Mus musculus: one gene and its partner. Each later gene encodes a partner of the first gene's protein in a complex. Links are inferred from orthologs where the notes say so. Each region holds a gene or a part of one and is shown in the gene's direction. Other genes may lie near its edges.

Region 1 (4,482 bases):
CTCCCAACTCTTCCCAACACCTCTCCCAATTCCTCAGCTAGCTGTTAAAAGCCCCCTACTGTCACCACTCGGGTCGAACTCCCCTGCCCTGCACTGTGGAGGGACTTCGTCCTCAGCTAGCTGATAATAAAACCTCTTGCAGTTTGCATCAGGTGTGGTTTTCTCTCGAGATGTTGGGGTGTTGGCCAGCTCATCCCGGGACTTGAGCAGAGGCCCAGCATCGGGGGTCTTACAGAACTTCTTAAAGTGAGACCATCTTAAAGGGACCCATACCTAAACACGGAAAAAAACAAAACAAAACAAAGCAAAAAAAAAAAAAAAAAAACCAAACCAACCTAGCTGTTTCAGAAAAATTGTTCAACTGTCACAAACTGAATTACACTGGAGAAGTCAAGTCTTTGAGAGCTTTCTCCCTAGATTATAAATAAGATATTTCTCCAAGTTTTCATTTTTTATGTTGTTTTGTAATCCAGGTGATCTTAAAAATATGTTTGGTAACGCACACCTTTAATCCCAGCACTTGGGAGGTAAAGGCAGGCAGATTTCTGAGTTGGAGGCCAGCCTGGTCTACAGAGTGAGTTCCAGGACAGCCAGGGCTACACAGAGAAACTCTGTCTCGAAGAAAAAAAAATTTTAAAAAAAGCTTGGGTGTGTGTTCCCAAGCAAGCAGTGACTATTGTAGGTTAAGAAGCACGGGTCCCATAGCTCACGTTCTCTTCGAACTTCTCACCACCTCCTAATGATGAATCTGTTTCTCCTTCACATCCCCAAGCCATGGATGGACTTTAAACATTTCATAATTTATTTTTAAATGGTGCCTTGAGCACCCCAGCCTGCTAGTACAGATTGATAATCCCAGTTACTCAGGAGGCTGAGGCAGGAGGATCACAAGTTCCAGGCCTGCCTGGATTGTAGAGGGTGCTCCAAGACAGTCAATGACCATCTGGGCCCGAAGTATAAGGAAGACAGGTGATGCAGCCTAGCGGTAAAGCACTTGCTTGGCGCTAGCATGTCCTGTGTTCAACCCCCAGAGCATGATGCCCTAAAGTGTAGGCGTTTCCTGCTATAGGGCCGAGAGAATAAATGGTGGTGCTTGGGATCACAGGTTTCGGGGTTCGAGGGGAGGTCTGTGCGGCCGCCAGCCCGGCCTGTTTCCCACCTGGATTAGGATGGATCCAATGGGGTCGCTGTCCTCCTGGGCCTGCGCCATGACTAAGGAGGGCAGAAGACACTAGGCTCCGGAGGTATGGCCTCCTGCGGAGCGCTCCTAGATGGTGCGGGCACCCGTCACCATAGCAACGCGGCGCGCGCGACCGGCGCGCTCCACTGGAGGAGCGGGGAAGGGGGGTGTGAGGGCCAGCCGGAGCCTCGGCTGCCCAGCGCGCGGCCCCGCCCAGCGCGCGTGCCCGGATCATCTCCCCCGCGTGCCCGCTGCAGTGGTACGGCCCAAGGCGGAAGCAGCGCCGGCGCGGAACCCGCTCTGCCGCAGCGATGGCTGCCGGTGTACCCTGCGCGCTGGTTACCAGCTGCTCCGCCACCTTCACCGGGGACCGGCTGGTGCAACGTGAGTAACCCGACGTCTGAGCCGGGCTGCAAGGCCCAGTTCAGAGCCATGGGCGCAGGGCCGGCGACCTCTCCCGGGCTCTGCCCGAGCTGGGCCCTAGGCTCCGGCTCCTCCGCAGGTCTCGGCGCCAGGCGCTTAACCTTCTGCCTGTGTAAAGTGAGGCCGGTTTCTGACCTCCCGCCTCAGGGGTGGTGGCAAGCACCCCCTAAGATGATATTCAAGACCCCGGAAATTGTGCTCTTAGACGAATGTAAGGCGCTGGAGTTGCGGTGTTGTGTTTGGGGGTTATGCCCCTGCTGCTGGGGTAGTGGTTCCTCTTGTGAACTGAAGTGCTCAGCAAAAAAACAAAAAAACAAACAAACAAAAAATGCACGCGCGTTAGTGTTCTGCCAGGATGATGGACTGACCAGAACTCCTGTGATTGTGGAGAGCTGGAATTTTAATAACTGTAGCCAGATTCTCGTGGACTGTCTCTAGTCTCCTTCTTAGCCATTTGTTGCCCACTTCTGTGTCTGACCTAATATCCTCTGACTATCAGGTAAAGTCCTTTTGGGAATAAGCAAACAGACCCCCTAGCTTCCATCAACCCAAAGGCTAAGAATTTTATCAGTTGGTGTCTGAGGCCTACAGCAAGGGCTTCCACGATGTGCTGTAATCCACCAACCTGTTGTTCCCCTCAATGTATTTTTAGAACATCCTGATATGTAGCTTTGTTGTTCCTATAAGAACACCATGGAATTGTTATTGCCACGTTGGAACATTTGACTTGAGGCACCCCTGATTCCTGTTCCCTTTTCATGATCCCTCATATTTGGCTCCAGAATAAACGCTTACTCCCTTAGAGATGAGAGCTGTGGGCGTTCTTGATTCCCTCCCCTTGATTGTGTGTGTGTGTGTAATGTACATACATGCATACTTGTGTGTACATGATATTTGTTGGGTGCCCCCTCACTTGCAGTTACATTTCTTGAGTTCTTTCTGAGGTGAAAGTTCCCCGGAAAAAAATGAGTTTGAGGTGTTACTGCACCCAGTGCTTTTGCTTCTGGACCCTAAGGGCTATAAAATTCAGGGTTTTGTTTTTGTTTTTGTTTTGTTTTTTTTGCCTTTGTTGTGCATACGCGAATATACGTGTGTGTGTGTGTGTGTGTGTGTGTGTGTGTGTGTGTTTTCTGCTTTTTAGTCCCACTGCTCTGTGCATACTGAGCGTGGCACTCTACCTCAGAGATAAACCCCAGCCCCACCCCAAAATGAGCTCTGAAATGTAGGTCAGAGAGACTAGTGAGCTAGAGCTGAGGAGGCAGCTCACTGGCCAGGTCTATGGCTCTGACTGTGGGCAAGTCACTGAACCTCTGCCCTTCATCTTCCTATCTGTGGGCTGAGGATTATGTTTGGCCACAGGCCAGCACGTGGCAAGCATTGGATAAGTGGTTGGCCTTATTATAAAAGCGTATCACCTGTTTAACTCAGGCTTTGCTGAGCCTTAAAGGGGGCACATGAAGAGGTGTCCTGGGAGACCGTGGGTGCTGGCTTGCAAATGCGGCCGAGCCTGTAAAGCATCGTGCAGTTTGTAATTATTTTCTACACCTGTTGACAGAATTAGGCATGCTGTCGTTCCTGCACGGGTATTCTATAACTTGCTTATTCTGAACACTTAGACAGTTCCTTGCTAGGGCAGAAGCTTAGTTACAACATTCATAAATGAGAACCAAACTCTTTGCCATTCTCTTACTTCCCCTAAGCAGTGCTCCCCTTCCCCCATCCCCCACCAGGGAGTGCTCCCCTTCCCCCACCCCCCACCAGGGAGTGCTCCCCTTCCCCCATCCCCCACCAGGGAGTGCTCCCCCTTCCCTCCCACCAGGTCTCCCATCTTTGCCCCTTCTACTTCATGTTGAATTTAGTAAAATTTAGCATATGGAGAAAAAAATGTTAGCTGACATTTTGGTGGTGTTTTTTTTGCCATCTCCCCGGGGCCCCTGCATATTTTCTGTATTTTATAATTATTGTAATTATATAATTCTACTTCATATGTAGTTTTTAGCCTGGTGTGTGTGTGTGTGTGTGTGTGGTGTTGATGATGGATTCCAGTGCCTTGCACGTGTTAAGCAAGTGCACTACTACTGAGTCACACCCTAATCCCCATCCTGATATTTTTTTAACACTAAGTCAAAAAGTACTTTCTATTGTACATCCATGCAGTGAATATACCAGACCTTTCTGAAGGCGTTTATGGGTCTGTATTTATCTGACTTTCAATAAAATGTATATGCATTTAGAGTCCTATTAGTGATAGGTGAATGATCTTTCAAAGGCAGGCTCAGGAATATTATATATTCTGATAGCTATGGTGCTCTGTCTCCCTTTCATCCTCCAAAAAGGTCTTGTGTGTCTCCTAGGCCAGCTCTGAACTTGTCCAAGTGTTGAGCCCGCCGTGCCTGGCCCGGTCCTGTTTCTCAAAGATCAGAACTGGCAATCGTGGTCAGTTCCTTGAAAGAGCTGATCGACCACCAGTAGCCAGCAAATGGTGGCATTCTTCCTTTGTTCTTTAATAGAGACTTTGAACATTATTGGTGTGTGTGTGTGTGTGTGTGTGTGTGTGTGTGTGAAGTTCTACGAAACAGCCCATTTTGTTTCTGTATGCAGAGTGACTTAGGAAACTCTAATTCTTGTTAAAATTAGGTGCCACTCATCAGTGCTCCACACGTCAGCAGGGGAAGTGCAGAAAAGCCAGCAGATGGTTTAAATAAGTAAAGCAGGAAAGAGGGCTGGCCAGTTCTTACAAGGTCATGGGGACGGAGGCCTCAGATGGCGTTAAAGACGGACGGACGGAGTTACACTATTCAGGGAATGGATTTAATTTGGGGATGGAAGACAGAGACCACCACGATGAGTGGCTGTAGTCTAGGTAGGACCCGGGTTTC
Region 2 (3,808 bases), on another chromosome or scaffold:
AATTAACAGACTCTACAATTTGACCAGTCAACCAAAAATGGCATACAAGATTTGTAAATTCCACTGATAGGGAGTGTATGTACTTATTCATACCATTACTAGCAATGGATATTGGCACTGAATTTCCTGTGGCTATGGGTTCAGTTTGCCTTTCTCTTGACTTCTTGGAGTTACTGGTATTATTAGACATTTATTACCCTCCCCCATCTTGCTTTGTCTGTGAATTGTTTATTATTTTGCTGATGTTTTGTTTGTTTTTCTGTTTTGGTTTTTTGAACTCTTGAATATGAATGTAGAATAGGCTGGCCTTGAACTCACAGAGATCCACTTGCCTCTGCCTTCTGCGTACTGGGGTTAAAGATGTGTGCCACCACTCTTGGTTTTATAGTTTGTTTTTCATTTTGTTTATCTTAGGTAGGGATTTTCAAAAATTCCTTCTGCATTGAGAGATTTATATGATTTTGTCAGTAGGAGAATAAAAGGAAGGGATTTAAAGGAATGACTCAATTCTTGCTGGCATGTGACAGGGTATGGTCATGATCAAACATGGTGGCTGGTAGCTTGTGTGACTGTGGCAGGTGATAAAGTCAGGCAGAGGAAAGCAGAGAGGTAGGGTTGGCAATGTGGAATCCTCTATGCACATGGGAGAATTAAAATCTATCTTGAATCCTTGACCTCATCAAACACAGGGTAGAGCAGGAGGAGTAAAACAGAACCATCCAGAAGGTCTGAGAAGGAGTCTTCAGTGCCAGAGGAGGACTGTTCAATGACACAGCTAAGCTTAAGTGAGCAAGGAAGAAGAAATCTTGTCATCAAGAAACAGATTGGCAGGGGCTAGAAAGATGGCTCAGGAGTTAAGCACACTGACTGCTCTTCCAGAGGTCCTGAGTTCAGTTCCCAGTAGTCACATGGTGGCTCACAACCATCTATCATGGGATCCGATTTCCTCTTCTGGTGTGTCTGAAGACAGCTAGTGTTATATAGTAAATAAATGTTAAAAAAAGAAAGAAAGAAAGAAAGAAAGAAAGAAAGAAAGAAAGAAAGAAAGAAAGAAAGAAAGAAAGAAAGAAAGAAAAGAAAAAAGAAACAGATTGACAAGGGTATCAGATACTTCTGAGGTGAGCTCAAAGAAAGATGGGGGACTTTCAGCTAGATGGTTTAAAGAAAGCAGCTTCAGTTGGGCAGATAGGATGTGGGTGCACAAGAGTCAGTTTCTAGTGACTTGTGGAGTAAGCAGTGTGGAGGACAGCAAGAACATCATAGAAGCATTCTTGGGTTGAAGCGTCCATACAAGGATGGCTTTACTTGTATATCGAGACCTGTCAGTCTCTCTGTTGGTCTTTGACCCCAGTTAATGTGCAGTTTTGATAACTTGAAGCTTCAGTGTCATATGGGAATCTGCTCACAGTACAGGTTTGTAGACCTGATCCAGACCCACTCATCCCTTAGAGCAGGGCTTGCAGGAAGTTTTTAGGAGTCTTAACAGGTAAGTTTGACACATTCAAAAACTGGCAGTTCACTAACCTGACAGCCAAGATCGTGAGACCTGAGTGCAGGAGAATTGAGGTTCTGGACTTACACTTAAAGAGCATCAGGGACCAAGTTTCTGCTTGTGTGTGTGAGCACAGCACCTAGAGGTCTCCCTCCCCTGTGGAGTCTCTTATTTTCCGTTACAACACAAAACATTGCATTAGTTACTTTTCCATTGCTGCTGAAATACTGTGACCAAAAGCAACTTATTGAGAGCAGTTTCTTTTGATTTCTAGTTCCAGAGGCATTCATAAAGGCAGGGGAGGCATGCTAGCGTGGCAGGAGCAAGAAACTGAGGGATCACATCTCGATCTCAGAAAGGAAGCAGAGATCTGCAGAGTATGAACCGGGAGAGGGATGAGGCTATAAACGCCAATGCCTGCTGCTGCTGACCTGCTTCCTTTAGCAAGGCTGTAACCTCAAATGCTCCAAAACCACCCCAAGCGCCACCTGCTGGTGACCAAGTATTCAAATACTTGAGACTATGGGGGACATTTCTCTTTCAAACCACCGCAAACCTTATTATCTAAAGGCATGAGCTACTTTAATAGGATTTGGTTTTTACCTTTGCTAAGGTCTAGAATTCTCTGCTCCCATCTTTATGTCCTTGAACTGTTATGTGGTATTTTGTGTTTGGATATCACCTGAATTGAATGGCAATATTGGAAAAGCTGGAGATGGTGGCAGATGCCTCTCCTGATTCTACTGCAAATTTATCAAAACTTTGTTTGTTTGTTTGTTTTTTTTCTTACCAGGTCTGTGAGCTGGATATTATCTTTAATTTTGAAAAGGCATATTTTATCCTTGATGAGTTTATAATAGGTGGAGAAATTCAGGAAACATCCAAGAAAACAGCAGTCAAGGCCATTGAAGACTCTGATATGTTACAAGAGGTCAGTATGGTTTTCTATGCCTGGGGTAATTCCAGCACTAATTATAATATAGTTAACACTGAGGACTGCACCCACATTTTGTTCTGAGCATAGCGTCCACTTTAAACAATTTGCATGTATTAGCTTACTTAATTTTTTCAGCAATTCTAACTAGGTGTTAGCCTGTTTTTTAGTGAATGAATAGAGACTTGCTGTGAAATGTTCGGCTCATTTTCATAGTTAATAAATATGAAACAGAGCTTTGGACCCTCACGGTTTGGTCCTGAACCTTTGCTTGTCCTGTTTGGCTGAACTTCAGGGTCTGAAAATACCTGACCCTCTGAAGTGTATGAAATGCTTGGTGCTATTCTTTGCAAATGTAATTTTATGAGATGTATAAAAAGACTTTCATTAAAATGTCTGCTCTGCTCTGGGAAGGAAGAACAGCAGCACGTAGTTATTTCATTTGCTGGATATATTAGAGATGGCATTTGTCATTTTAATTGAAATTTCCCACCTCTCTTGGGAAGGCCTTAGGTCTGTGCGCTCTTGTTTGCATGAATAGATCAGGAGCACGGGTAGCCGGATTGCAGAGGTATAAATGGGCCCTGAAGCCTGGGCTTGGTACTCCTCCTGATCCTGTGCTTGGTACTCCTCCTGATCCTGTGGTTGCTCAGAAATATTCTGGAACTTTTCTTTTTAGAAGCATCCCAGATTTGAATCAGACCTAATAGGGGAACATAATCTGCATTAGCTCCTACAAGGACAGTCAAAAAGAGCACTGTGTTCTGTCAACCCTTGCCTTCTAAAAGATATCAAACTTACCTGTTAATTTAGTCTAGACTAAATGATTTAGTCCTAAACCAAGCATGTTTCCGGGTGCCTAAATTCTGTCCCACCTCTCCAACAATATCAGTGGGAAAAGGGACATTTCTTTTTCCCTGTCTGTTCCATTCTACTGGTTGTTTGTTTGTTTGTTTGTTTTCTCTATCAAGACAAAGTCTTATTATGTAACTCAGGCTGGGTTTGAACTCACAATCCTCCTGCCTCTCCCTCCCAATTTGCTGGGATGACAGTCATGTACCACCCCTGGCCTCAGTGGGTTTTTCCATCTTCCTGTTTTCATAACAGGTCAAGAGTCAAGAGGATTTCAAGAATTATAAAGTACCCTTTTAAAATTGGTGCTAAAGTCATTCTTCCTGCTATTTGGAAATAAGAGACTGGTTAAGTTAATAAGACATTAGGCATGATTTCCCAGCAACTGTCTTGGCAGTACTGTGAGCTGATTACTTACTTCTGCCCATGGAGGGACTCCATCCTCAGGTGAGTGCAAATGAAGGAAGCTAAGGGCGGGCTCCCATAAGCAGCTCGGTGTTTGTCAGGCCAATGCATTTATCGCCAGATGT

What was found.
Region 2: the proteins of Aagab (region 1) and Ap1s3 are in contact, whole or in part, in a crystal structure (PDB 9DDT), measured with the Homo sapiens proteins. The link is inferred for Mus musculus from reciprocal best matches to the Homo sapiens genes AAGAB and AP1S3. Residues at the interface, in NP_078942.3 of Homo sapiens: Asn51, Lys52, Tyr53, Tyr54, Glu108, Val109, Met110, Ile111, Gln128, Ile132, Gly135, Phe136, Glu137, Asp151, Phe153, Pro154, Glu155, Arg161, Gln164, Ala165, Asn167, Ala168, Asn169, Val170, Met176; in NP_001034658.1 of Homo sapiens: Arg10, Gln11, Lys13, Arg15, Gln37, Leu40, Ser41, Arg61, Tyr62, Ala63, Ser64, His85, Val88, Asp92, Phe95, Val98, Glu100, Leu101, Asp102, Ile104, Phe105, Asn106.

The regions. Positions count from the first base shown.
Region 1 is NC_000075.6:63,601,208-63,605,689, forward strand, and holds the start of Aagab (alpha- and gamma-adaptin-binding protein p34), read left to right. Parts: upstream 1-1,438; 5' UTR 1,439-1,491; coding exon 1,492-1,564; intron 1,565-4,482. Other genes in the region: Iqch (IQ domain-containing protein H), read right to left, coding at 1,160-1,210. UniProt on the Homo sapiens protein: May be involved in endocytic recycling of growth factor receptors such as EGFR.
Region 2 is NC_000067.6:79,612,818-79,616,625, reverse strand, and holds part of Ap1s3 (AP-1 complex subunit sigma-3), read left to right. Parts: intron 1-2,285; coding exon 2,286-2,423; intron 2,424-3,533; exon of another isoform or gene 3,534-3,725; intron 3,726-3,808. UniProt on the Homo sapiens protein: Subunit of clathrin-associated adaptor protein complex 1 that plays a role in protein sorting in the late-Golgi/trans-Golgi network (TGN) and/or endosomes.